Neodiprion lecontei: one gene and its partners. The protein of the gene in region 1 purifies or fractionates together with the protein of each later gene. This does not show direct contact. Links are inferred from orthologs where the notes say so. Each region holds a gene or a part of one and is shown in the gene's direction. Other genes may lie near its edges. The genes, in order: kelch-like ECH-associated protein 1B; DNA-binding protein Ets97D; serine/threonine-protein kinase 10; serine/threonine-protein phosphatase PGAM5, mitochondrial.

Region 1 (8,305 bases):
GATATTTAGTTGGACTGTTTATCGTTAGAAAGACTATAATTATACTTATTATTAAACTCTCGAAAGTCGTAATCAGTAGGTTCCTATGGATATTAATACCGATGCAAATTTTCTCACATGCAATATAAACGAAATATGGGTTGCCGACTGAAGATAGAATATAATTAACGGAATTGCCAGTGAGGAGTGATAGGAGTATACGTATCAAATATAAAATGATACAGAATCTCGCACTCAGTTTGTCATTTTATATTACCAGTATGAGGCTTCTACATATGCATTTTACAAAAAATTTGCTCGGTAAAGGTTTGCTATCAGTACTGAAATCTCTAAAGCAGCATAAATTTAATGAGATATATATCGAAAGAAAATGTCGAGGAAGGAGATCGAAGTAAAGTAAAAGTATAAAATAAAATTCAATAAAATAAACACATAAATAAAAGTAAATAAATAAACAAATAAATAATATATAACATAATAATATACTACAATGTCGAACTCTGATAAATTGAATTCTTACAGTAGATGATGAGGAATAACTAATTGATATTGCAATTTATTAAAGAGTGATCAAAATACAAATAATAGGGGGCCAGTCTAGAGTCACCCGAGCCTAAGGAAATCAAACATAGACTTACTAAACTAATTTTAGCTGTAATATTTAAACAGGTGGGATCAATCTGTGATTTAGTTGAGTCGCTTTACTGTCCTTTGTTTTCTATCTAGACACGTCGCTGAAATATAATAATGCGTACTATATTTCAGTGAGTCACGTGGAAGATTTTTCTGTTACTTATCTTTATCTTGTTTTGGGCCATCTTTCACAAAACGAAAATCATCTTATTTCTCACGCTAAATAAAGTCTGAATCAAAGGTTGGTCTCCCGGCTGACTTAATCATGCGCTGCCAAGTCTGCCTTTGTAGTATACAATTCTGAAAGAATTTTAATAACGGAGGCTTAACTCTGTAACGAAGATAACCGTATAAACAGTATAAAGAATCGCGATCATATCCGCCTGATAGTTTATCATTTTTCAGTTATTTAAATCAAAGCATTTCAGTATTTTAACTCGCGACCTGGTAGCGCACGGTTGTAAGCTAGGTTAGGTTCCTCGTGACCTACCTCGTCTCTCTTGTTACGCCTACTACTACACTGTTATTGTTGATGAAAACTCCATATTATTATAAAATAAATATTATATTGTCTCAGGTTTGAGACTATATATTAAATCATCCCATTCGATCCTTATGTTACATCTTGTATCTATCTCTGGAATTCCCTAAATCATATTCCTGTATAATAGCCGCGATACGTAACACGTATGCGTGAACGATAGATTTATAAATAATGTACAGATAAAGTGTAAAGTACAAAGGAAAAAGCAATCTCATGCTGCGGTGGCTTTAAGCCAGTCATGCTCTGTCTCCAAAGATTTATTGTGAGAGAGGTCACAGTGTGAATTGTCCTTTGCGGTAAACCGTATGAAACGATGTTAAAATGAAGAGACTGCTTTGTCCTCTCCACCAAATTCTTCGTCAAATGAACGATACGTAACCGAACATTGCTTCGATTAGAAAATACCAATGTCAATTGTCATTCGAGACTTGCGTTTATTACCTCAAGGCCCGCGGGTCCAATAGTAATCTACCACTCGTAAACTGAATGAAAATGATCTTATAAAGGTGCATCAGTGTTGCACATCGTTATACAGTTGTAGGTCCCCTGAGTGTGCAAAGAACAAGACGAAAGAAAACATTGAGTATAGTTGTGATAAAAAAAACAGCTGTCTACGTGATGTACGAAAATTTTTTTTACTCGGTCTCCTGGGTACGTTCCGTGAATCGCATAGTCATAATGACTTTCGGAAAATAAGCAAGGCTAATAGCTAGCTAAGCTGACCTGCAGGCGTGAATGTGTGGACATGTATAGGTCATATTACTCGAATTATTTTATCAAAATATTGCGACGGCAGTTTTGATTCCTTGACAACTGCATAGTGAACACCCCTTGCGGTTATTTCATTTTAATTCCATTCATCAACGGATATCTGGTCGCGAGTGTCCGACAACTATTCAATCAACAATAGACTTATATGTGTGTATATTTTATACGAGTGCCTTCTCCAGAGGCCTACATGACGTACTTACGTACATACACACATGCATATCGTATGAATGCGCTGCCAGTAAGTTACGTGCCAAAGGCTGAAAGCTCGCATGATCGGAGATAACTACATATTTGAATCAGCAAGTCATTCTAGCCGAAATTTGACCCCTCCAGGTGATATAGAGCTTATACTCAATGGCCAACAACTAATCGAGATGTTAAAATCGCATATTTGGAAAAACGTTTGTCCTCTTGCCGATCCTTTTTCTTTTTCTCGTGGATATCAACGTGCAGGTTTTTTCGCGCGTTTTAAAGTGACACGTTGCGTAAATAGTAAATTTCAGTTTTGACATTTCTGCCACTTTGTCACACGTTGGGCGGTGGAAAATTAAATACTCGTGAAAATAAAATAATACACAACTGACGTTTAACACCGTCAACTTACTGTGCGCTAATTTGCATACCGTATTGTTGTGTTTCGCCCAAGTGTAGTCGTTACAAATTTCTTTGAAACACTCATTGTCATGCGGGAATCATGATAAACAGAAAACTCTTCAGGATGTAAAATTGGTAAATGGTGTCATTTTCTGGAGATACATAGTCAAAATCGTTACTTGTGTGGTTTATAACCTCAAAGTTAATCTGATTCGGATCTGTTCAACGCTACGGACACAAGGTACATACACACATTAAGTTATTATAGAAATACCTAATAAATATTATGGGCCGCTTAAATTTCCGAAACCCTTGCTGCGCCCGTGCATGTGTTGCATTTCTTCATCATCGATACTCCATGCTCGGTATCATGTGTTAAAAACCATATGAGGCATTTTTTGGCAAGCCGCTGGTACAGCTACCAAAATGAACCAAAATATAGTTTACGTCACACACAATATTGTTCTGGTACACCTTGTTTGCTATACCGGTGCTTGCCAGAACATGCCTATTTTGGTACACCTATCTGATTGTACGCAAATTTACTTTTCATACGCAATATGCAATAACTGCACTTGTAATACTAAAGTTAATTATATTTAGATTCCAACAGAATGACCAGATGTATAACAATGCTAAGACGTTCATCAATGAAACTATTAATTCCACAAATAGAAACGATATACTCTTTTATCTAATATCTTATGATTTCACTTAACTCCATTTTTTCTTATCATTTATTCATTGTCATTTCCGATCTAGGCTTTTGTCACATACTGTATGGAAAATTGTACTTGTTTGAATGGAAATATTTTCTTTTGTCAAATAGACTTAATATTGTCAATTACATTTTACGTTGTATTCAAATCTGAGATAACGACATGATTGAAAAACTATTTAGTCCCTCAAAACAACCAGAACGTGTGATAACAGATTGATAACAGTAAAAGTAATTTTACTCAATTTCTACCTAGCTTATGATAGATCATCATGGATGGTGAAGAGGATTATTCGCAGATGGAAGGAAGTCGGTGTAATTTCACATCATTCGGTAGAAGTGATGCAGCAGTTGATACCAGTGAAGAAAAGGACCAGAACCTTAGTCCGGGTAATGAGAAACATGGAGACCTTGGCGATATGACATTTTGCATGGCTAATTATATAAAAGAAGCTATGAAAATGATGTTTATGATGCGAAGTCATCACATGCTTACCGACGTTATCTTAGAAGTTGGACAAGAACTGTTCCATGCACACAAAGTCATTTTGGCTGCGGCAAGTCCTTATTTTAAGGTATCATTTTATTTTTTTACACCTCATCCACATCTAGTTATTCCCAGCTAATATTACTTTCAGTCTAGAATCATGAAATAAACATCTTTTAACTTTCAGTTACTACGTGTATATTGTTTAAAAAACAATCACTTCAAATAATTTAACATACTTTATTCAAATTCGTCTGATTTTCATTTATATCAATCAATGCCTCACTTTGTAAGTCCTGATTTTTTCATAATACTTGAAGTGTTGATAGTACAACATCCCGGTGGTCAGGAATAATTTAACACTGCTGAATTACAGAAAGCGTTCATTCAATTACTGCTTCGTAGTCAGTGATACTGTCAATACCTCGTGTCTGTTTATAATAAAAATTTTCTTACTCTAAATTCTAGGCAATGTTCACGGGAGGTCTTAAAGAATGTGAAATGACCAGAGTCAAATTGCAAGGGGTTTGTCCAACAGCGATGGCTCGGCTCATGTATTTCATGTACACGGGACAAATAAGAGTAACTGAAGTAACAGTCTGTTCGTTATTACCTGCGGCGACAATGTTTCAGGTACAGTATTCCTAGGTAATTGTCATAGGTTATAAGCTGAGAAATGTTCAAAAGTATTCCATAGCTGATATGTATTGAATAAAATACACGATCGTTCTTATTGTTAGCTATGTGTCGAAATATTTGACATTCGAATTACAGGTTGGCAATGTAATAGATGCATGCTGCGTATTTCTCGAGAGGCAATTGGACCCAACAAATGCTATCGGAATTGCAAATTTTGCTGAACAGCATGGTTGTCACGATTTACATCACAAAGCAAATCAATTTATCGTGCAACACTTTAGCAGAATTTGTCAAGAAGAAGAATTCCTTCAACTTACGGCCATACAATTAATTAATTTAATTAGAAAAGATGAACTTAATGTACAGGAAGAAAGAGAAGTTTATAATGCAGTGTTAAAATGGGTGAAATACAACGAGGAATCTCGCGGTATTAAAATGGAACATATATTGCACGCAGTTCGGTGTCAGTATTTGACTCCGAGCTTTCTTAGGGAACAAATGAAAAATTGCGATGTTTTAAAAAAAGTTCCAGCCTGCCGCGAGTATCTAGCGCAAATTTTTAAAGACCTAACATTGCATAAGAAACCAGTCGTCAAAGAGAGGACACCCAACACACCAAGAGTCATTTACATAGCAGGTGGATTTCTTAGACATTCGTTGGATGTTCTTGAAGGGTATAATGCCGACGACAAAGTTTGGAGTCAACATGCTAAGTTAACAGTGCCTCGTTCCGGACTTGGAGGAGCATTTTTAAAAGGCATGTTTTACGCCATCGGTGGAAGGAACAATTCGCCAGGAAACAGGTGAGATTAATAACATGTAGATATTGGTTCACCTGCTTAGTTCAAGTAATCGTTAACAAACAGTTTTTTTTACTCATCTTCAAGATACGACAGTGATTGGGTGGACAGGTACAATCCAGTTCTTGACCAGTGGAGACCCTGTAATCCCATGTCAGTGCCAAGGAACAGAGTGGGAGTTGCTGTAATGGATGGTGTATTGTATGCGGTAGGTGGCAGCGCAGGTGCAGAATATCACAACAGCGTTGAATGTTATGACCCGGATCAGGATACCTGGACAAATGTTAAACCTATGCACACAAAACGATTAGGAGTCGGAGTTGCTGTAGTAAATAGGTATGACGAATGCTTTTCAAGATTCCATTAAGCAATCTTTCTCGGGCACTTAAAAAAAACCTTGACTCTGAAATTTCGTATTTATAGATTGCTCTACGCAATTGGTGGATTTAATGGAATGCATAGATTGAGTTCAGTAGAATGTTATCATCCAGAAAATGACGAATGGACCATGGTCTCTCCCATGCGGTGTTGTCGGTCAGGATCTGGTGTAGCAAGTCTTGGGCAGTACATCTATGTGGTAGGAGGCTATGACGGATCTCGTCAGTTGAGCACAGTAGAACGTTACGATACGGAACATGATTCATGGGAGTTTGTGAGCAATGTTTCAGTTGCGCGCAGTGCTTTGAGCGTAACTGTTCTAGATGGAAAACTTTATGCAATGGGTTAGTGTCTTGTGTATATATCGTAATTGACACGATTTTTTTTTTTTTTTATGACAATTTGAATTCTCTCATTTCATGTATAAGTTTTATTGTTCTTTTCCGTTACAGGAGGGTATGACGGACAGACCTTTTTAAGTATAGTAGAAATATACGATCCAGCCAAGGATCAATGGGAACCAGGAGTGCCTATGACTTCGGGTAGATCAGGTCATGCGAGTGCGGTTTCTTATCACCAATGTCCGTTGCATTGTGATCACTTGGAACATCACATTGTTTCTAGTGAAAACCGATCAACGAAACGCACATCTTGACACCCTATGTCGAATTCTGTGACCTGATGACGCGATTTAATTTATTTATTTGTAAATGACGTGTAGTATAATAATATAGTGTAACGATAGTATAAGGAGATAAGACTATATTGAGATTGATCTTAATCAAGCAGGTAGTGAAGCTATGCAGAGGATATTTTTGAATTCTGAGTTGCCTAGAAAGTGCTTACATAAATTGAGAAAAGTGAACTGTGCACAAGTTCCTTCAAACAGACTACAAAACAAGTTTGATTCGATTTCATATCTTCACCTAGATATCTTTGGTAAGTGAAAAATTAAAATAGGCAAGTGGGACAATCTTAGTGATACAAACTAGAAGCAGAAAGCAATTCCAAAGATCACTCAATCAGTAACAAAACGATGTACCCATATTTACTATAGGGCGAATGATCTATTTTCTATAATTCTCTTCATTCTGTTTACGCAACTGATTGTTGTACATTATTTTAGTAACTATGCAAACACCTAATTAATAGTATAATTTGTGATTGGAAAAACCATGAGATATTCGTTAATTGGTAATACTTTTTAATATCAGTACCTGTCACAAGGACTAAAAAGACAAGAATAAATTGGAATGTTGATGATTTTTTCGCAAATATCAAAGGAGTTTACTCCACATAGTATAATATTGCAAGCTGAAGGCAGTCATTTTGTATTTCCATTGTTTATCAAAATGCACGTTCAAGACCTAGAACTAACTTTTCAAATTCCAGATGAAACTAGTCCCATTAAATATTGAATAATTTCTGTAAAATTAAAAAAAATTTTAAAAAACACAAATCTGCGATTAAACATGTTGCCACTGGAGTGTCAAAATCAACCGACTACCTGTCCTATGTGTCTAGGAAAAGGTAATGAAAAAACTTATGTCAACTTGAAATATCAGTAAAAGTTTATTAACAGTCAAATTCAATTTTATTTAACTTTAGGGTATTGCAATGAAGATAAGTCAAGGCTCTCTTTCAGTCAAGAAAAGTCCACACTTGTTCATCCTAAGCGTTCACTACGACTACCAGCTATAAATTCTGAAAATACAAAGCTAAAGAGGCATTCTTCGAGTTACAGCTCTAATTTTTCTGCCACAGAGGGTATCGGGGATGTACACTTACCAAAAATACTTCATAGGTACTACAGATATTATATTCATTACGGAGAGAATTCGGTTCAATTTTGATTATCGGTTGAAAATTGTCATATAAAAAAAATTCGTCCACCAATTTTCAAATTATGGTAGTATTGGCTTTTAGAGAAAATTACAGTCTCCTGTGATGAAAGTGTATGCGCAAAGAATTTTGGGTAGCGGTGAGCAGAATCTCCTTGGAGAGGTTCCTTGTATGTACGTACGTACATTTTGATCGCAGGAGAATGAATTTTTTTTTTCAATGCCTATACTACCATAATCTAAAAATTGGTAGAAGATTTTTCTTAATCGACTTTATTTAATCAGTCAAGAATTAAAAACCCGTGTTTTGGTCAAAGTTTCACCAAAGACTCCCCTTAATTAATGAAGATTGAAGCTTTGGACAAGTTGCAAAGTTCTTAGCAACAATGCTAGCTTGTTTATATACCTCCTTTGAACACAGCAATTCCGTGTATACCGAATGCAGCAGAACCAGTTTAAATCAAAAAAGCATGCTTTATCCTGGTGGAGATAATATGAAGCTACAGGACAAAAATTATGCGACAGCAGCTCTAAACTTTGAAAGACCACAAGATGCGCTGAAGCTAGCGTTACTGAAGTTGAAGGAAAATCAATGGGATAATACCATGCAAGCACTCATTGACATTGTGCATATATCAAGGCTTCAACCAGAACTGATAGATTCGATTATGCCAATCGTAAATAGAAGCATATGCAGGTGACGTCATCATTCATTCGTGATTATCACGTGGACGTAATTAACTTTAATTACTTCATTACGATTTATAGCTTATTGCGAAATATAAGGTCAAATGTAGTAAGGACTGCCTGCCAAGTAGCCGCCGAATTGTTCAGAACGATGCAATGTACCCAAAGACCTGAATTTGATGAGTTGGTCGGTATGCTGTTACAAAAGACTGG
Region 2 (7,167 bases), about 6.5 Mb from region 1:
TTCAACCTGCGATATTTTCATTTACCCAAGTTTTTTTGATAAAATGTACTTACCAAAAAATTTTGCAATTTATAAATTAATATGTAAATATATTTTTCTGATATCAATTTTGTCGTAGGAGTCGACTTATACTCAGTACCTAAAAACTGTCCCGAAATGCAGACTGAAAACTAGAGGTAGACTTGTATCCGGAGTCGACTACCATTCAGAACAATATGGTATATAATCACGGATACGGTAACATTTCTTTCTGGACTGAAGTATATAATACAGAAGTTTTTTTATTTGCAAATCAGACGATATACTATACAATAATAGTTCTATTCTTATCTCAAAACATGTACAATTTTAAACAACTCGTTCAAGGTAAAAGGTCATCACAAGATGGCTGATGTTCAAGCCTATTGCCAGGCTTATAATATATGTTAAGACCATTACGGGTAGCGGAGCTAATATCAAGTGTGTTTTGTGAAGGATCTGTACACCTAAAAGAAATATAATTATTTTTCTTTACTTACAATCCATAGAATTACATCTACAAATATATATGATGGATTCTATTTGCTATAATACTGTCTCCAATTGGAAAAATACGAAAAACATGTAATATATACTTACTAGCGTATCCCAAGAATGTAATGTAAATGTAGTAGCTAACAGCGATTAGCCAAAATGTATTTCCAATGAATCGAGAAAAGAATCCCTCGTGGCTTATCAGTCCTGTGAAAACGAATCATCATTAATTCATCTTCGGTGAATATTTAAATGGTGAATCATCGCTTGATATATGTATTCTGCAAGATTGGTCAAGTCCAATTTGGGAATTCTAATATTCATGAGTAGGTGTTACAGTAAATTTCCAATAAATGCATAGTTCTCACCATTATACAAAAATAGCTGTATAAAATGTAGAATCGTAAGAGGTGGAAAAAACGCGTTAAGGTGAATGTCAAATGCATATCCCCATTCGACATCCTGGACATTGTTAATTCTTAAGTAACGATTACTTACGAACCTAGAAATAAGTAGAATTAATTAATCAACTGTATCTTGAAGATATCTCATCAAAACTGAATACATTTTCTGTTTTGCTGCCTGAATGAAATGAACAAGTACCAGGTTTTTCAAATTTGAGTAAATCCTTACCAGAATAACGTGGCTACAATTATCCCTGCTCCAATACAGTCTACCAAAATGACGTAGAACAGGAATTTGAAAAATTGGAAAAATCCTAGCCCTGATACAACTGCAAAGCCTATCGATGAGATGCACAACCAGCAACTCAGTAGAACCAAAAATGCAGGATCGTCCCTGGCGAACTGGGATTTTGTCTCTACACAATCAAAAAGCCAATATATCAGAACTATTTGTAATCAAAAACGAAAATAGATTATGTATTTAGTTAGATTACTTTGAGATTATTTTCAGTTATCAATGAAGACGTCACTAATTTTTATGGTTTCAGACTTGATCTCAAGTTTAAACTCACGCTTTCGGCTCTGAAAGTTTCTGTATACTTTTTGTGGATCTGTAAAAAGATACAACATTTGCCAAAGAGCAAATTCAAAATCCATCTGCTCAAACTTCAATAATTTCCTCAGATACTTATAGCATTTTGTTGCTGCTCCCATGCAGTCCTGTCTGTGGAATAATTATATGGTAAGTTGAGAGCTCCGGTTGATTCGTATGAGGTTCGACATACCTGTAAGTCACTGGCATTGGTAGCGGGGACCCTGATTTGAAAGATAACGGGGAAGTGCTGCGACTTATTGGAGGCGAGGTTGTATACTTCATTTTTTCAAAGTTCGACTGAATTTTCTGTATGTTTAGAAAGGGAGAAAAAAAATGAACTTTTATCAAAGCGAAAAAACATTTTTATTATCTGCTGTTCCATTAATCTTAAAGAAAAAAAATTTCAGACAGTTGACGCATTACGAGGTGATGAAATGAAGTTCAAATAACAAAAATTGAAAATGTTGAAATCTACAAAACCTTTACAGCGAAGACATCAAATTGTCAAATTCTTGTAGGTTAACTAGGAATCTTGGAATCTTCGATTAAACGACAGTTTGTAAAATTCTTGCTTCAATCTCATTGCCATGCGGCAGGAATGTGCAATTCCACATCTATGGTCAATACCATTCCGTATTACTTTACTTTTAATTCTTTCACTGTGGTTTAGAGCCTGAATCAGAAACACGAATGACGCCATACAGATGACGTTTAACATTAAGCCAGCATCTCCATATCTTGAACCCACGCGACAGTTATTACAAAGTTAGACACCGTCCGCGTCATCGGGAATAGAGGACAGCCAATGGGTGAGTGAATTCAAGGAATGTTTTTTTTTTACCCATGGCGCCCGTGGCGCTGTGCGTCTGTCATTGTATACGCGTGCGAAAAGTTCATAATCACAATTTCATCAAGCTTACGAATTTGCGTACCAGTACTTAATTGACGATCAAGTTTACAAGGGGTGGATTTTTTCTGAAGGACGAGGTCACTGATGGAAAAAAATTACCGATGAAAAATTTCGGAAAAAGGGTGAGCATCCGCATTGTACTCCGAATCTGTTGTATGCTAGGGAAAATACCCTAACCTAACCTAAAATACTTGACTTAATTTAACATTCTCTTTTTATATAATTAGATCACCGCTATATGACTGTAAGATTTCTTCAATTCGCAACACGTAAGAAGCATCTGTTTCCAACCATCGACGTAACTTTATGACGGATAAAAAATTCTGTTTACTTCGTCAATCACGGTATCCTAACCCCAAAGAAAACGCTCGTTCTGCCCGTTCTGACTGAGCATTCGGATATTTTCGCATGTGCTTAACGATAAGTGTCTTGTCTTACTACACTACCATCGAAAAAAGATACAGCAATCAGGTATCCTTCTTGAACCCATCCTTTTTAGTTAACCTTTTGCCAACTGTATCTGATAATTTGTTAATCTCATTCGCAGGTTCAACATGGATGATGACTCAGATTTTGTTATGATAAAAAGGATAAAGATGGAACCAGAAGCAATTTTGTCCCAGGAAGATGACATAATGGCTCAGCTTCAGCAGGAGAGTTCAGATTTAGAAGTAGAGCCCAGTTTTGCACTAGACGGAGTAACTAATGGAGACGATGCTAACGAAGGTGTACTGATGCAGCACATGGACATAAGAGAGCCATTATCAACCTTAAGAAATCTACTCGAACAAAGACTGGGTGTTGAATTAATGGACTATTCCTTTTGGCTCCAAGATGCTCAGATGGTACGTGATATGAAAGAAACGAAATACCAATGAAAATTTATCAATAACAACGCATTTGCAATATGTTGTATACCTCGTTATTACAATTCAAATTACATCAACAGCTTGAGAGTCACAAAAATTTGGTTGACCAATGCGTTCAGGGGGAGGGACTAGTACAAGTCAATGTTCAAATAAAAGCCAATCAGAGACGCATTAATATTGTGGATGTCTTGAAACCTGCTGAAGATTACATCGAGTTGGCTGAAAACACATGTGAGTAAATTTTTTGTATCCAATGTTGTGCTTTTTTCTAAGCAACTGCGCTAAGAAATTTGTGACTATTACATTTTGCATGTCAGATCAGTCAAAATTGCACATGTTCACTCTTATTATTAGTTTCTAATGACATTCTCAAATAAATTTCATTCAAATATGATATGTATTGATGTGATTTAATTATCAGTAATTTATGTATATTTGTATAAAACTGATTGAATAACTTATTTCATCAACATTACTTTGTCATCTTAGGGTTCCAAGTAAATATTTGGTATGCTTGCAATTTTTTAGATCTCAAACTCCTCAGAAAAGTGTTAATTAATTAATTTGTGAACAGAAACAATGTTGTATTTTGCCATATCCTCTCAGCAAAGTTTAATTTTTAAAATTAAAATTTAATACATCTTTTCAAAAACATTCATACTCACTCCTACAAATTAGAAACTACAAATTGAAATCAAATCAATAATCATCTTGGAATCAAGATGACACTCATTCATTTTTTTTTAAAAATGGTCATTTGTTTGTTTCCATGTGACCACTATCAATAGCTAATAGCCAATGAAGTGAAATTCATTTTACAAAGTTTGAACCACCATTCACATGACAGATGTCTGTTTTGTTATCGCAGAAAATAAGGTTTCACGCCAATTAAATAGTACTATGATAGTCGTGTATCTTTCTCATTTGTCAAAGTAAACTAATACTAATATCTCTACATGCTGAAAGTCTTACTTTTCTCATCCTATCATACAGCAGAGCAAAGCTCAGCGGCGGCAACACCCAATGAAGAGGGAAAGCAGAATGTCATCAGGTGGATGGTAGACCCACAGTATAGGAAGGAACAGGTAAACAATCTCAGTTAGTTAGATAAAGATATTCAGTAATATTTTCACTTACAGTATATTATTTGTCTGTTTAGGAACGTCTGAAAATACCAGCAAGTCCCAAAGACTGGTCTCAAGCCCATGTAAAGCATTGGTTGCAGTGGGCTGTCAGGCAGTTCAATTTAGTTTCTCTGAGACTAGCCGACTGGAACATCACAGGCTCACAACTCTGCAATTTAACCCTTGACGAATTTCAATCAAAAGTTCCACTCGATCCTGGCGATGTTTTTTGGACACATTTGGAGTTGCTCAGGAAATGCAAGTTTGTTGGTAAGTATTTGTAATATGTTTACTGTTTGCTTCACTTTTCTATTTCAAATTCTACAAGTACTTATTTCTAACAGTGGTTTACAGAATTTAGCTCTTCACATTTGTTAAAATTTTTTTGAATTTCATGAAATTACATGTATTTCATATAAATAATAATTATTTCGCAGCTGTTGTCCAGAAGGATCCTCCCATGGCATCAAACGGTAATACCGACGAACTTAAGTCGGCAAAGGTCAGGAATCAGAAGACCCCAAAAGCACGTAGTTTGAATCAGCAGCCCCGGTTAGTGAGTGTTCCGATGGGAAGTGTTGACTCGCCTGGAATAACGATTGCGACGTCAAACCGAACAGGAAGCAACGGTCAAATTCAACTGTGGCAATTTCTGTTGGAATTATTAACGGATCGAGAGCACAGAGGAGCTATTCAGTGGTTAGGAACGGAAGGAGAGTTTAAACTTAATCAACCCGAAGTAGTCGCTCAGCTTTGGGGAGCTCGAAAAAATAAACCTTCGATGAATTATGAAAAACTGAGCAGAGCACTCCGGTATTATTATGACGGGGACATGATATCGAAAGTTCATGGAAAGCGATTCGTATACAAGTTTGTTTGCGACCTTAAACAGCTGTTAGGATATTCTGCCGCGGAACTTAGTCGGCTTGTCGAAGAAGGTAGAAGATACTTCTGAAAAGAATATAAGTGTGGTAATACGCAGTTAACACAGTTATGATGTTATTACAGTTGGAGTATTTGCCAATAAAGAGTTCAATTAACGAACGGCAAGCAAGGAAAAATTTACATGAACTTTATAAACAATAGATTATTATTACTTTGTCGCTGTAAGATTTAAATCCACTAAAGAAACAAACTGAAACGGTAGAATTGTGGTTCTTTTAAATCATTCTTGCTTCTTGGTGTGAATTTAATCTGTTCAACGTTAAAACTCTTTTCTTATGGATTACATTTTGCAAACGTAGTTGACATAAAGACAAGGTTGTTAATGTACATGAAAGTGGAGTATATGTGAAAGGAGTCAGCTTTAGGTGCGAAGATCCACCTAGTCAAGTTGAGTAATGCTCCTGAAAAACAAGATCGAAGTAAACTATTTACCAATAAAATAACGGCTTTGGCTAACTTTTGTACATGAAAATCTTTTTATAAGCCGCGATCAAAGTTTTCGATATGCAGGACATTCCTAAACCAAAATTGACTTCTTCCACGTAATGATACCATATATATTTTAATTCCAAGTAAAATAAAGACGAAGTAGTTATGAATCTTGGTTTCGCTTCTGTAACATGATACAAGATTGAAAGCGTACTTGTGTATTCAAATTATTGTTGACAGAACCTTGCAATTGTTTGATCGTATTTAAGTAACAAGGGATTATAATTATAAATGTATATATATGTGTGTATATATATATATATATATATATTTATATATATATATATATATATATATATATATATATTTATAGATAATATAGATAGTAGGTAATAGATCGTAAAATTCAGAATAGCGTTAATAACAGTTTTGACATTAGAAATTCTGTATTTTTTATATCAACGGGGATTGTAGATGTATAAAACAAGTTTTACCAAATAATGCAAGATTGAATAATCGCAATTATTTTTATTAACATATCTATAGTTTATATAGACAAACGATAAATAACTGTATATACATTACATGCATATAGTATATATCCTACGTACACGTGAAAGTTTGTACAACTGTTGATGGTAAAAATTTATTTCAATGATGAAAATGAAATAAACGAAAATTATTTAGTTATTTTTGGATAAAAAAAAGCAATATGATTACGTAGTTGAAATACATATGTACATACATATATTCATTTACAACAGGAGCAACGGTAAATAAGTGAAGGTAAAAAAAAAAAAAATAAAGAAACAATAAGAAAAACTCGAATGTAAAGTGATTGCGAACTCTCTCTCTTTGCGGTACGATCGTTTACGATTCACTTTTAACACAGAGCATCACACCGGAACTGACATACTACTCATTGGCAAAGGCAGCACTCATCGCCAATACCAGAGAATCTAGCCTGTGAGATATCGGATGCGACGTCACAAGTTAGGGTCTCAGGGAATCGGCGATGCGGCAGGCTATACACGCCCGCCCGCCATGCCTTCCGTTTTTCCTTATTTCCATCCATTCATCCTTCCTCCTCGTTATTTTCCTTCTCTATAATTTCTTGCAAGAATTCTTCTCTCATTCGTTGTTTGTTCTCGCGGTCAATATTTCTTTCCCCCTGTCTCCCTCTTTCTCTCGATAATTATTTTACACGGATCTATTGATGGTGATGATCATGATGATGAGGATGATGATGGTCCATCGTCGGGGCACCGACGACCGGGAAAGTTAGCAAGCTGTACAGTGGACTTCGTATCTTCGAATTTTCATTCCCTACTATACAACCTACTACCTCACCCAGGCATCGCCGCAATAATTTATGGAT
Region 3 (5,471 bases), on another chromosome or scaffold:
GACTGGGCAGACCTGCCGAAGTGGGCAGTATTCCGTTCAAGTTATCGATGACACGTCTATGCTGTAACCATGCACTCATTATCACGAGTGTAGCTGCAGTGAAACTATGAGTTAGATGCGATAAAGTTTACAAACGAGTAACGCAGATCGGGTGAGAAGCTTCACTGTGAGCCATACATATTTATCTTGACGTAAGAATTAGAATTTTTATTTTGTATATCGTGATGGATTCTCACACTTTGTAGTCAATCGAGTTTGTAATTGGTACGTAGATACATAATATTATACCATGTTGCTCGAATGTACTACACGCAATGTACGATGAGGTATACTTAACGTCAATAAATTTTTTTGCATTTTAAATAAATGTATTGATTACTAAACATCGTGAGTCATCTTCAGAGTAAGGAAAGAGTATGAGGTAAAGTAAAAACGAAGGGGTTTCAATTATGCTTTCTATTGAAACAGAGTATTGACATGAATTTACTATGAACAATTGATTTCTACCAATCAACTCTCCTTTGTGACTGTACAAATTATTGAAGTTGAAGGATTCATCGCAAAAGTACAAATTATTGTGTACGATTGTTACATAACATGTACGTCATCGATAATTATATTATACACAGGCTACGAAAACAATCAGCAATCACATTCTAACAATTCGCTAGAGTATTAAACTAAAGTCATAACATTTTTCACTGGTTGCACTTGATTCACACTGAGTGTTATTTCTCCAGATTCCAAACAATAGCAGAAGTGGAATCTTAGGAAATGCACTTAGTGAGTATCCAGTGTAGCCAGTGGAAAACATTATACAAGCGCCTCTGAACATTACTCTTTGCTGTCCTTGAATCCTTCAGGATACTGATAGTCTTTATAAGTTGGGAATCCAATCGCCTCTGGCAGTGGTGCCGGTTTTGACTTTGAGGATCTTGTAGCTTCTAAAGCACTTTCCAATTCAGCTGCATTTTTCTTCTTAGTTTTCATCAGTGCCAGACTCTGCAATACTTCAGCATCTGACGGTGGTTCTTTTCTGCGATACCTTAGCCACGCTTCCCATTCAGCAGGTACTTCTTGCTGAAAGTCATCTTTGTTCACTGGTTCGAAGTAACGTGGTGGTTTTTTTTTTGAACTTGTGGAATGTAGCGGTGTTTCATAATACTTGGTACCAAAGTGATCAGTGCCTACTAGATCTCCTCTAAATCTACGTGGTTTAACCGACTCTATGAAATGTTTCCAGATTGTTTGAAAAACGCCCCGCGTCGGTTTACCTGCCATCTTAGTTCCTCGATATGTTGATGTATGTCTGCACCCTGCAAACCAATTTAAATCACTTATCGGTTGCAAGGCCTTTTGCTGGGGTATGTTAATATGTATTATGCGTCTTTGGCTGCAATAACCAAAAGCCCCATATTTTCGTTCTTAACCTTTCCCAGACCTGCTGAAGTTTCGGGGTTAAGTTGTAGAAAAACACTTGAAATTTGACATGTAGAAAGTCTGCATCACTGTAATAATTTCTACTCTACCCTTAAGAGATAACTTTGCGTGTACTGAGTGTCGCGAAGGAGTGAGAGAAGTATATGTTGGTATAATCTGTCTCTCTCGCTCTATACGTGATTGGATATATATATATATCAATCATATCGGCTGCATTTTCGCGAGGTCGATGGGATAGGTAGCTCCCTCCAGTAGTAGGTATGCTTTAAGTATATGCTCTAGAGACTGTACTACGGGACTCTACCTGGAACTCATATAGGTATGTAATACTACTGGAACTACAGGTTCCTTTGGTATATTTCAGTGATCTGCAGCGACGGCTACGCGAAAATGAGACCAAATTAGACCCAATCGAAGCGAGAGAGATGAAAACGGCTCCGTGACTGTAGACTATTTACTACTCGTGCTGTCCGACACCGTTGCCAGACTCGCCAGAGTCACCAGAGTAAAGTTGAGTGGGAGATACACAATGATGCGTAAAGAATGTCGTTACAAGCACGGATTACATAAATTTAACCAAAAATTTACAGTACCCAGCTGCTCGACGGCTTGTGATTAATATTAGAATAAACAGAATCAATACAATTCTCTTGATTTCTCACGTAGAGCTGCTGCTACCTTGGACTCTGCTAAGCTACGATGCAGATTGCTACTGCGAACGAATCTGCAGGATTTACGCTCAAATAAGTGTCTGTTTACCGAAGAACAAGCTATGATGTAGTGTATGTGAATTGGATTATATATTTATATGTATATTTTCGAGTTATCGAATTATGCGATTGAAACAATTTATATTGGAAATTAGTGAGCTTGTACAAAAATTTTTTTGTGAATATTACAATCGAGAAATGTCGAACCACCTGTACACTACATCTTTACTTGCAAATTATACATTAACCTAACCGATTATCGGAATCGTTCGAGCGTTTGATGTCCGTGGACTATAACAGGATTTTCTTCGTAGGGCTTCGCAGGCTATACGATAATTTAATAATATAACATACGAGAAATGAGCTGTAACGCGTCTGCTCCAAGAAGTGAAGAATCGAGCTTCGGCAACTAGTCTGCGTCTGATTTCCGAGAATTTTATTTTGCTTGAAGACAACAGTTGACAAAATATCATCCACAACAATAACTACGAATACGAATTCGTACATACAGCAGCGCATCACAGTCAGAAATAGAATAAATGTATTCATATATACTCCGCAGATGATACCTACGTACGTTGTTGACACGCGACACGACGTTTGCATGCACCTGAATTTTTATTATTCCTTCTCTTTTCTATCTATACATACAGTCTTTGGGTTGCCGACTGATTGTCCATGGCGATGGCGGGTGGGGGGCTGAAAGGCGGTATGTATCGTGGCAATAGCCAGTCTTGATATTCCTTGGGAGTACATGCGTACCGACTTACGGATACTGCACGTTGACCGTGCAATTGCTAGAAACAGCAATAGCCATCGGTGACTAGCCTGACAATTTAACCCTCGATAAATACGCGCGTTAGTTTAAAGTTGAACGAAGGTTGGGTACGGTGCGCCCCCCCCCCTGCTGCCTCGTACGTACGCATACACACACAATGTACAATACACTCCATGGTTGAACATGGGTGGATCAGCGGTTTACGTCACTTCCAGGCGTGGTGTGTCCGTGTCTCTTTGAGAGTCGTGTGTGCGCTGAAAATGGCCGTGTTTTAACCAGATTTATCAAGCCATATAATTTCAAACGTAAATTTTTCCCGCTTATCTCGCTTGCCGTTTCGTATTGAAACTGGTTCTATTCTGTGATATTACTTCAATATTGTTGTACACCGAGTGTCATTTATTCAGTGCCGTGCCTTCGACAGGCTGCTGGATAAGATGACTATTGGTACCGATTGGTCGATTAGGTGAGCGACTGTGTTACATACAGATTTTGGTACTATTTTCACTATATTTTTGCAGCCTTTCACTGAAATATAACCTCCGGTTATCGATTAAGAAACTATTACGCCGTTTGGCGTTGGTTCTGTAGTTTTAGTACTACCGATCGGAATGTAAATGTATGTGGAAAAATAAAGAGGAGAAAAAAGGCCAACAAAAACAACACTCAATGTGACAGAAAAATTTCGTTTCACGAATTCGTTATCGGATAATTTTTGGACTTATTTTTTACTTTAAGTTTCCCGAATTTGAGGAAAAACTTCTTGCCGTCAGCGTAAAAATGTCTCCGTTCTGGAACGTATGAAACAGGTGCTTTGCATCTCTTGATAACTCGCAAATACGCAGGTGGACGTCTAACCAAACGATGTCGATCGTATGATCAGCTGTATTAATCATTAATTCGACGCATTTTTACGTACATATATACCTAGAATCATTGTTCAACGTGATGGCTTCATGTTAATATTTATACGTTTGAAATTCATAATATCACTGCTCTGTCTAAACAGCCACTTGTATTTGTTGAATCAGTATTGGAAACCTGACTTGGATCAAGGCCAAGGGTGTAGGTATGTTTTACGACCGCTGACGATGCACCTTCCGTTACAAGCTCACGCTTATGCTTATCTTTCTTATCTCTGTCTTCATTTTTCCACTCACTCATAGCTAATATCACATGTTAAATTAACAGCTCCATCAGGCTTGCAAATGTGGTCTAGATAGAGAATTGAATCACCCAAAGAAGTGACCGAACGTCCCAAAGTACCTAATGTTTTTAAGAACCTAGTATCAAGAGCTTTATGTATCTTTATTATGTAATTTTGCATGAATTGAATATTTCTGTTACAGATTTTGGAGGTTCTAAAGTGGTTAATTTTTCATTCAATCTTGGATGTCTGGAAGAAATGAAGGGCCTAGCCCTTGATGACCCACACCGACTGGCGACGAGTATCGGTACTGGCTCGCTAGACACCATTGAAGATTAAATCCGTCAAGATGCGGGAGAGATTTGTGACGATACCTCGACGTGTCGAGGGGGTCTGAATACCACAACTATTGGTTCAATTCGGTTCCTGCCTAGGAATCAAGTCGAGGATGTTTACTGATTTACTTTTGTACATGTGAAAAGATAAATTTACTGGACTGTACTAATTTTTTTTTTTTTAATGTTTGTATTAACGTTACATTTGATGATATATCTTACAACGTTTGTGACATTTTCACGTCTGCGTTATGAATCATCTTCGTTATTGATTATAATTACTGTCTTGCGCTTTATATGAAATAATATAACAAGGTCCTGTATTAATTATTCAATATAAGTCTTATAGTCATTTGCCAGAAGCCTGACATGCTTCAATCAATTATATGGACCAAGTCAATTTCGTTTATTTGTTAGTCAAGTTTTAGGGTGTAATAAGTTCAAAATGTCGTTTTTATCAAATTTGAAAAAAGCATTCCACTTCGGTGGCAATGACGCGAAGAAGAAAAAGTTGTTCAATAATATTAAAATGGATTGCGACCCGGAAGAATTTTGGGAAATGATCGGAGAACTTGGAGACGGTGCTTTTGGCAAAGTCTACAAGGTAAGCAACTACATTGTTGTGATTTTATCCCTGAATCTTTATACAAAACACAAATGAAAGTACTTAGTAATTTGAACTTTCTTCTGTCATTCTTACTAGGCACAGAGTAAACAGACTCAGCAATTGGCTGCAGCTAAAATGTGTGCATTAGAAGGTGAGGATGACCTTGCAGATTTCATGATTGAAATTGATATACTCTCAGAGTGCAAGCATCCAAACATCGTGGAATTACACGAGGCCTATTTTATGGAGGGAAAACTGTGGGTGTGTACACAGAGCATTTGCTAGATTACCAGATCGAGGCATCTAAATTTATCATTTGTTCAGATGTTGGCCAGTCATCTGTGCAACACAATTACTGTTGTCTTTATCAATTCATTAAGATATCTCAATCGACGTATGAATCTTCAGATGTTGATCGAGTACTGCGACGGCGGTGCCTTGGATTCGATAATGG
Region 4 (8,668 bases), on another chromosome or scaffold:
GTCAAGTAACTTTCCAATTCTTTGAGGAATTTAGGTGAGCAAGCGTGGCTTAGTACACTAGTTACAATTTCAGCAAAATTAGCTTGCGAAACATTGGTCAAAACTCGCAATGTGACCACCATGAGATCTGGGGTGGTAATGTTGTTTAATAATTCTTCGAAGTCAGCTTTCTTGTTGGTTAATGTTGTAACAACATCATCACTATTGCTTATACTCAAATCATTCAACCGTCTGAAATTGAAGAATCGTGTACTATACTGATCTCTGTTAGTCGGTTGCCTATTGGCACCACTACTTCTGCTACGATGCTGACCTCTGTTCTTGCTGTGAAATTAATGAATATCATATTATTTCAAGAAATGTTATAAGACTTCGCAAAGTACAATTGCTTATTAAGTTTCGTTCTATCAATAAGTATAAACGATTGTTCAAATACTCCTTCAATTAAAATTGATTACATATTAGATAAAAAAATTTTAAAAATGCAACTAAGTAGTAGATTTTTTTCAGTAAATTTTGAAACAGAATAATTGTACAGTACTGAAATATCCGTGTGTAATATATTTACAATTGATCAATAAATGGACTGATGGTGATAATTATCGTTATGAAGCTTTAAATTACAGTTGGTTTTATTAGAGGAATTAGAGCTTTATTTCTCTCAGAAATTTTCAAAATATTGTGTTTACATCTTATATCTAACATATGTAAAAGTTCGATCACTGGCATAAACTTATATTTAGACTTTCCGGCAGTCTAAAGGTTAAATTGAAGATTATGAACAGGAATTGAATTTTACCAAATGTCATATTTTGTATAGCATATAGAGACAGTATTTGTAAGTTTCCAAAAAAAGTTCTTATTGTACAAGGAATAATTGGAACAACTGGGTGATCTACCAAATACGATTTGTAAATGTTTAGTGCAAAATAATTGGAAATTTGATCACAATAGTAAAATTCAGAAGCAGGAAATTGTTGGATATTGTATCAGGTTCAGAGAACTCACTTTGCATTGGCATTATGATCTTGGGAATGATCATTACGCCGATATGGTGTTCTGTTATTGCTGTTATTCACATTATTATTTCTTCCACGATATCTGCAATGTGGACGTTGCCCTGTAAATAAAACAAAAAGCATGAGTTTTGATCTGTTGTTTTTCTTATAGCTTATAATCTACTTCCAAAGTTATGGACTCGGTAAAATTTGATGAATTATGGTATACCGACATGTTTTTCTTCAAGCTAAAATTATGAAATTAATCAGTCAACTGACAGACCACGAATATTACATACGACTTTACTATTTATAAGAACATATCAAAATAACAGATAGAGTTTTGTGAAATAATACTAAATATATCGTTACGATTGTATACAAATCTTCCAATGACTGCACTTTTAGGAAAATAGGTATAACGTTTATGCAACTTAACACTTTTCTTTGAGGAAGTTTGATGTATGTATGTACGTTTAAATGGAATGTTGATCACGAACAAACGACGTTTATGCACATACATACCAGCGTCTGGTGGGTTTGACCTATCCATGGTATTTTGCCACGTCAGTGCCCCGAAACCATGAATATTGCGCTTCACTTGGCTCTACGATTTAATAACTTCACTGGATCCTTATTAACGTAAGAACTAGAAAGTGGCAACTCTCGTGTAAAGGCCTAGCATAAAGCATAAGCGTCTGGACGGTCTGGATCAAATCCTTCTTGGTCGAAAAAATCTGAATAAATGCACTTCACAGCTAGAGTCACCGTACGAGTTTATCGCGTCGGGGAACTCCCGCGTTTCGTACTCCTAGTGCCGGGAAACTTCTCCGCAGTTCTCCGCTCTGCTGCTTCCCGACCACGGTCTTCCCGACTGTCGCCGACTACACTGGGGCAATGTTGAATTACATACATTAAACTTCTCTCGCACACTGTTTCGGCCCCCAGTGAATCACACTATACTTATATCCTCAGTCAACGACGGCATGGGTAGCTGAGCGGAAAGGCAGAGCATGTCCTACCCTCTACATTTTCACAAACTCTATGGAAGTTCGTTTTTTGCCACAGCTGACGACGGTTGGACGACAGCTTCCACCGACGTTGTGACCGGCGTGTGTGTGGCTCGTGCTTCAAAAACGTCATTTCATCTTTTCACACGCACGACGTAAAGATAAATGTAGATTTATGTAACCAGTTATCGCAAAATGCCAGGATTAACGAAATTTCAAAAATATGCCATCTCCGGACTCGGCGTTGTCGGCGGAGCTGCACTGCTTTATTACAATGTTTACGGCGGCGGTGAATCTATGCATGTGCTTAACTCCTGGACCACGAATTTCACTCCATCTGTACAATGGGAGCACAATTGGGATAGGTTAGGATCGATTGGACTACAAAATTATCTGCCCACTGTTTTTGGTGGAACGCGCGAATCACGCAAATTTTTTCCTATCTGAATCTCTTATTTGCACACTCACGTGCTTAATTCATTCGACATAACCAACACGCAGCATAGTAGTTCGTGTTTCTAACATGTAAAGACGTTCTGTAATTCGCGTTCTTGTCCTCGGGATGGAAAATGAAATTTGTATAATACGGAGCCTAACTTTGCCATCACAAAATCACAGTATTACTCTGAATCTTTCATTCTATTTTGATGTTGCACTTTTCAGACGTGAGCCAAAGTCCTTGGTCAAACCTGTCAAGATCAACTCTGAATCTGATGAGAATAGGTACAATGAAGATCTGGCTTCGCAAAAAGTGACCGCTACACGTAATTTGTTCCTTATACGACATGGACAGTACAATACAAATGGGAAGACCGACTGTGAGAGAATTCTTACCAATCTCGGTGAGTAGCTTTGAGACGACAGGATTTTATGGTTCCCAATGCTCTTGGCAGTAGATTTGGATATCATATTCTGCACAAACTGCTTCTGCAGATTTTTAATAAGCATTTCAGATTTTATTACGATGTTCATATTTCAGGCAGAATACAGGCAGAATCTACTGGCTCACGCCTCGTTGAATTGAACTACCCTTACACGCTGATCGTCAGATCGACGATGAGTCGGGCGCAAGAGACGTCTAAAATTATAGAAAAGAATTTTCCCGAAGTTCCTACAAAAGACGACAGTCTTCTGGAAGAAGGAGCGCCTATTCCTCCCGAACCACCAGTTGGTCATTGGAAACCTGAAAATTATGTAAGCATTACAAGTATTGTTGTCAATTTCGTTTTTCTTCAGAATCGTTTTATGCTCGTTTTAATTTGCAATCAGTTATAAATTCCCACAGCAAGAGAATAGTGACTTCAAGCGTAGAGTATATATGAAAGATGTTGTTCCGTTATTCGTCTCTTTGTGTAAAGCATGTTTCATAAGCAGCTTGTTGCAGCAGTTCTTTCAAGATGGAGCTAGAATAGAAGCCGCATTCAGGAGATACTTTCACAGGGCAGATCCTAAGCAGACGCAAGATTCCTATACCGTACTCGTTTGTCACGCAAACGTGATAAGATACTTCGTCTGCAGGTAAAGATTGATAACTTTCGCTCAGGTCATTTCTTGAATAAATGTTGAATAAATTACTGTTTTTACCCTCGCAATGTGCCATAATACGATAACATGAATACCTCTTAAAATTTGTAAAAAGTCTCTAACTTTCTTTACAGAGCTCTGCAATTTCCGCCAGAAGCTTGGCTACGTTTGTCATTGAATCACGCAAGTATTACTTGGATTAGAATATCTCCTTCTGGTAGAGTTACTCTGCGTTGTTTAGGCGACACTGGGCATATGTTACCTCAAAACGTTACTGCCAACTAAACTAATTGTCTACTAAGTAACAAGTGAAACATCTTCTATTTTTTAATCCATCAAAATACTTTTAATTTAAATTTGAATACATTTGTAAATTAGTATTACAGTAGATAGTATTAATTAATTAATGCAATATAATATGCATACACGTATTACATTTATGGGTATTTTAGATTGAAATTTACGGAGGTATGAAGGTGACTCATTTCTTTCGTTTTCTTAGGTCTCATGTTTGAAACGATAACGTTGGGTTTTATCTGTTGCAGTTTTTTCTTACAAAATTTTGCTGAATCGATACATGTATAACGTTCACCTGAAACTGAACGGCATCTTTTACATCATTTTTTACCGACATAATACAAATAGTTATCATTGTTTCAATCATTCAAAGTACATGATCACTTGTAAATTTTCCCCTCAAAATATTTCGATTGTGTTGATCGTATACATTTGTAGATTTAATGGAAATAATTATTTGTCAGGTTATTGTAATTTTGAAATTTTGAAAGTTGGCATCAATCAAAGAATTCAGCAGCCAATTATAAACTTCTAAGGTTAAAAAACATTTCTAATGATTTCCTGTGATTCCTGTACTCATGTCACATCTTTTTTCGCTCAGCAGGTACCTTGAACTAATCTAAGTAAGTCATTATATTGCTGGCTGTGAAAATGATAGATTGTGGGAAAGTTAATGAAAGCGAACTCTCGCCTGAAGTATCCGAGTAACTGAGAAACGTGCGTGATTAGACCAGAGATAGTATGATCGTCACGACTTCCCAAGCTGTCCGTTATCGTGAAAAATTAGACCTTCTCTCACATCTGGTAGAAAAGTCGATGATTTTCACTGCCAGTGGGCAAAGGGTACGGGTGGAAGGAGTGAAAGATAAATTGCGTGAGTAACGTTTTGTGATCGATTTATTAGATTTTCAAAATATTTGGAACAGCATGTAGTTTATCGTTATAATTATTTATTAGCATAGTAGGTAATAAGATATTTAAGGTACGAGACTTAATAAAAGTATTTAGCAATATAGACGAATATAATCTGAAAAATGTTCAATAGTAGGTACCATGATTCATTTAGGTTTCTTTTTCTTCATCCGTACGCGATATAATTATTATAATGTCAACAACGTTATAGAAATGTATAATGTGTATCTTTGAACAAGCATGAAAAACGACACTCCACATTATAGTAGACATTATGATATAGAAATGGGGATATCGATTATTTTTTTACTTTTTTTTTGTAAATCATCGTCGTCAAATGTTTCATATTCACAAGATTGATCCACAGTGGAAATATGATACTCCTGCGTCAACGAAAAAATTACGCTCACGTTGCACGAGTAAAGAATATTTTTCCTACGTAATAATATTTATTACCGATTACGTAAACGAGATAGAATAGGATATGTTTGAATTTTAAAATCGTTTAATTGCTTGTAAAATATGTTCTCGAATTTCGAATTTCGAATACCAGTCGCAATTCTTTCACACTAGATTGAGCAAAAACCGGACAAAAATACGACAACTTTTAAATTGGGAGATCTCGAAGAAGGAAGGTATAATAAAAGGAAGACTTCTGGAATCGCATTTCTTACTTTTACTTGTTAGATTGGAAGCAGTTAAAAGTTTAAACTGCGACCGTACAGAAATCGAATGTACATTTACAATCTTGATATTCGACTGGTTTTCGATAATGGTTCTGTTGCCGTCGAAAAGTTGCACGTGTGCTTTCTAGGGGTGCCGAGTAATAGGAACACGTTCGATGTTACCTGGTTTCTCCTCACCTTTTCTTTTTTCATATTCGTTCATTCGTACAAATTGACTGATCAAAAACCCCGAAAAACGAATCAAGACGCGTTATACCTCATTGCTAGGGAAAAAACCGAAGTTTTTTTTTCTCTTTTCATCAAAAGATAATATTTGAACCAAATCCATTGCCCTTGTGGCCCCGTTAGAATAATATATTGAACAACTTTCGGGGAATTCGAAAACTTTTAATTTTCTTCACGCACAGAAGGTCGAAGATTGAAGATCGCGACCCCTCCGGACACAGTGCTGCACAAAGATGCTCTTTATCGACGGCAAATATTTAATTTATTCTATCTAAGAAGATCGAAGCGGAAGATACAGTAGAATTTAGTCTGCTGGGGACTGGGGCTCGTCTTCCTCGTCCTCTTCGTCCTCGTCAATCCCCGGCTCGCCAAGCGCATGGACGAATTCTGGAATCGGACGGTCGGAAATTAATTGACATTGAATTAACGTGAGTATTTTTTCGAAGGACGAATACTCGTACATCGACGTGGGGTGTGATTCAACGTTTCAGAGAGTTCGAAAGCGTATCGGCGTAGGGTTCTTTTTTACCCTCGATTTTACAAAATGCCCTGCTTTTACACACCTATATCCGGATAAGCGAGAATCGCTAGTCTGGCAAATTGACACGTAAAAGCTATGCATCAGTCTTACAGAAGCGGGAGGTAGATTTCCTAAGGATTTGGGGAGCCGTAAAAGGCAAACGTGCGCGCCTTGTGATCCCGATGACCCCTTTTTCAAGACTTTGGCGTGATCCGCGTCTACGTCGTCTCGTATGAAGCGCAATGCGAACGGGAATTCGGAGGCGCTAGACTTCGGGAAAATCCCCAAGATGAAACCGAAAAAACAAAAACATCAATGTGTAACTAATTAACGACTCGTGCCTCGAGTTTTTCCGCCGCATAAGCGACTGTGCAAAGTATCTTTAAATCTTTAACGATAAGAAGTTCTCTGCAAATATGTTTCAATATTTCAATTTTAGACGATAAGCTCTCCATTATTTTGAAAAACAATTTTAAAAAACCACCGCCGGATTTCTGTGCAGATTTTCTACGTAGTTTAGTATCAAATATCTCGTAATATCTCTAAAATAATTGTCTCCGTCGTATTGTTAAAATAAATTCACCGGATGAAGTTTAATTTGCTCACGGATGAAGGTTTGATATATTTAAATCGATTTTTCGAATTATACGAGTTTGAATGCCGATCTTCTTCCCCTATTTTTGCATTACGGTCACCGGAGTAATTGCGAATGTCCAAGAGTCAAATAGGAGGTTACTCAAGCCGTTCTTCAGGGACGAGGACCGTCTCTTCGAATTATTCATTCGGTACCGCGTACACCGCGCGCTTTTATTATCAAATCTAATTTCGATTGCAGATGCTGGACCTACGGCCCATGGTATCCCCCAACCTCCGACCCCTCACCCCTTGACCCAAAGGGTGGCAAACAGAACTTACTCAGGCATCGCATCCCCTGTTAAGCCATCATCCACTCAAGTGTTGAACTTTTGCAGGGACGACGCGATCGGCTCGAAGATTTGGGAGCGCAAGAGGGATGGAGAGAGAGAGAGAGAGAGAGAGAGGGAATCGCCTAGCTTCTTCTGAATAGTTATTCGTGGGAACTGCACCCTCCTCCGAGTTTCCGATCGCGCGACCCTCGGCTGCTTTTCGTGCAACACATGCGGTATTTCTCGGGGCAATAGAGAACATGAGCAAGAACTAATCGCGGAGGGCTACAAGTTTGCCAAACTAGACGTAGGCACGGCTCTCCCTCGGAGAAACCTACGATCTATGTGGCATTAGCAAATGGTCAACTTGTGCACTTAGCTTTATGCCTGGTCCTCTCTCTCTCTCTCTCTCTCTCTCTCTCTCTCTCTCTCTCTCTCTCTGTAGAGTTTAAAATTCGACAAGAAAATTGTTATGTCATATTAATAACAGACGCGTAAGGCTCGGCCCGGTATCGAAAGAAAAGATCTGAAAATTTTCACGTCAAAAGAAGATCATTAACACGAAGTGCAGATGTGTTTTCGGTGGTTTTTTCATTCGATCGCACTTATAATTTGCGAATCTACATGTTTTTGTTGCGAAAGCGAGTTTATCCAACTCGTATCTCCCATGCCTGCGTGTGCTGTAAGGGAGGTACAGTGTGTGTGGTTGACGAGAGGAGCGCTAGTGTGCATGGATGCGCATAGAGTGTTGTTTGTTTGTCTTTGAAAAAAAAAAAAAAACTTGGCAACCGCATTGTTTAGCTTAGTAACCACGCTGTTTGTTAGTAATCACGTTGTTTTCGTTAATGTATCAATAAAGTTTTATTATCCAGTCTCATCCGAGTGAAATCGTCAACTAATTAATATATAGAGAATTGAATCTCATCTGAAATATCCCATCAGTTTTTACAGAACGTCGAGTGTTTTCCCAAGATTTATCTAGGTACAAGATAATAAAATGGACCGCGAATCACCCCATTGTCATCGCAGTTTTCGCCTTCTTACAGTGAATCGGCTCGCGATAGGGATGAAAAGGTGATAAACTTTACAATGATCTCGTAAAATGCATTTTTATCAAATCCCTCGGTTCGTCTCTTCTCGTCCTGCATGCATCATTCTCCGCACACAGCCGTGTACCTATGGTGTAAATATATTCTCGCACGGCCGATTTGATTATTTACGAACCGGAAGTTTACCGTTTCGGAAAATGGTACACGGCCGTGCGTTTTCCCCGCTACACGAGTAAAGGGTCCAAGGGGAAGGTATGATATAAGCCTTACCGTAAAAATCGATGCGACCGTCTCCGTCGACGTCCACTTCCTTTATCATATCTTCAACTGAAACATACAATCATACCAAACGTGTTCGTCAGATAGCGTAGCAATATAGATGTATAATAGGAGGGAAGCGGAAATTGTTTGAAACCTTCCGAAAAACGGGCGGCATGATAACCGCGCGATTGCAGATCACTGCAACGGCTATAAAAAGGGTCAAAAGAGAGGTATGGTGTAATAACACTAACATAAAAGAACGATTCAATCGCGTTTCTGTA

Evidence for each region.
Region 2: the proteins of kelch-like ECH-associated protein 1B (region 1) and DNA-binding protein Ets97D purify together in Homo sapiens (affinity purification with western blotting; 3 studies listed by BioGRID). This does not show direct contact. The link is inferred for Neodiprion lecontei from reciprocal best matches to the Homo sapiens genes KEAP1 and GABPA.
Region 3: the proteins of kelch-like ECH-associated protein 1B (region 1) and serine/threonine-protein kinase 10 purify together in Homo sapiens (affinity purification with western blotting; 3 studies listed by BioGRID and IntAct, with this or other methods). This does not show direct contact. The link is inferred for Neodiprion lecontei from reciprocal best matches to the Homo sapiens genes KEAP1 and SLK.
Region 4: the proteins of kelch-like ECH-associated protein 1B (region 1) and serine/threonine-protein phosphatase PGAM5, mitochondrial purify together in Homo sapiens (affinity purification with western blotting; 6 studies listed by BioGRID and IntAct, with this or other methods). This does not show direct contact. The link is inferred for Neodiprion lecontei from reciprocal best matches to the Homo sapiens genes KEAP1 and PGAM5.

Annotation. Positions count from the first base shown.
Region 1 is NC_060263.1:38,075,607-38,083,911, forward strand, and holds kelch-like ECH-associated protein 1B, read left to right. Parts: upstream 1-2,218; 5' UTR 2,219-2,783; intron 2,784-3,516; 5' UTR 3,517-3,532; coding exon 3,533-3,835; intron 3,836-4,215; coding exon 4,216-4,380; intron 4,381-4,521; coding exon 4,522-5,189; intron 5,190-5,273; coding exon 5,274-5,522; intron 5,523-5,609; coding exon 5,610-5,908; intron 5,909-6,016; coding exon 6,017-6,219; 3' UTR 6,220-7,036; coding exon of another isoform or gene 7,037-7,094; 3' UTR 7,095-7,151; downstream 7,152-8,305. Other genes in the region: uncharacterized protein LOC107225684, read left to right, coding at 7,037-7,094, 7,173-7,368, 7,827-8,102, 8,174-8,305. UniProt on the Homo sapiens protein: Substrate-specific adapter of a BCR (BTB-CUL3-RBX1) E3 ubiquitin ligase complex that regulates the response to oxidative stress by targeting NFE2L2/NRF2 for ubiquitination.
Region 2 is NC_060263.1:31,529,482-31,536,648, forward strand, and holds DNA-binding protein Ets97D, read left to right. Parts: upstream 1-2,360; 5' UTR 2,361-2,544; intron 2,545-2,649; exon of another isoform or gene 2,650-2,893; intron 2,894-2,969; 5' UTR 2,970-2,976; coding exon 2,977-3,267; intron 3,268-3,371; coding exon 3,372-3,522; intron 3,523-4,284; coding exon 4,285-4,376; intron 4,377-4,450; coding exon 4,451-4,685; intron 4,686-4,852; coding exon 4,853-5,370; 3' UTR 5,371-6,183; downstream 6,184-7,167. Other genes in the region: protein unc-50 homolog, read right to left, coding at 349-485, 619-720, 882-1,015, 1,147-1,333, 1,490-1,641, 1,703-1,794.
Region 3 is NC_060264.1:26,525,561-26,531,031, reverse strand, and holds the start of serine/threonine-protein kinase 10, read left to right. Parts: upstream 1-2,124; 5' UTR 2,125-2,222; intron 2,223-2,723; coding exon of another isoform or gene 2,724-2,756; exon of another isoform or gene 2,757-2,771; intron 2,772-2,801; coding exon of another isoform or gene 2,802-2,906; exon of another isoform or gene 2,907-2,969; intron 2,970-3,152; exon of another isoform or gene 3,153-3,394; intron 3,395-3,937; exon of another isoform or gene 3,938-3,997; intron 3,998-4,139; exon of another isoform or gene 4,140-4,190; intron 4,191-4,277; 5' UTR 4,278-4,855; coding exon 4,856-5,014; intron 5,015-5,113; coding exon 5,114-5,278; intron 5,279-5,425; coding exon 5,426-5,471. Other genes in the region: NADH dehydrogenase [ubiquinone] 1 alpha subcomplex assembly factor 2, read right to left, coding at 835-1,281. UniProt on the Homo sapiens protein: Mediates apoptosis and actin stress fiber dissolution.
Region 4 is NC_060262.1:36,220,413-36,229,080, forward strand, and holds serine/threonine-protein phosphatase PGAM5, mitochondrial, read left to right. Parts: upstream 1-2,068; 5' UTR 2,069-2,203; coding exon 2,204-2,373; intron 2,374-2,671; coding exon 2,672-2,850; intron 2,851-2,987; coding exon 2,988-3,202; intron 3,203-3,392; coding exon 3,393-3,526; intron 3,527-3,666; coding exon 3,667-3,817; 3' UTR 3,818-4,703; intron 4,704-4,925; exon of another isoform or gene 4,926-5,834; 3' UTR 5,835-5,956; coding exon of another isoform or gene 5,957-6,039; 3' UTR 6,040-6,080; intron 6,081-7,007; exon of another isoform or gene 7,008-7,143; 3' UTR 7,144-7,954; downstream 7,955-8,668. Other genes in the region: NFX1-type zinc finger-containing protein 1, read right to left, coding at 1-324, 1,009-1,120, 1,524-1,551; calmodulin, read right to left, coding at 5,957-6,039, 8,397-8,453. UniProt on the Homo sapiens protein: Mitochondrial serine/threonine phosphatase that dephosphorylates various substrates and thus plays a role in different biological processes including cellular senescence or mitophagy. Modulates cellular senescence by regulating mitochondrial dynamics.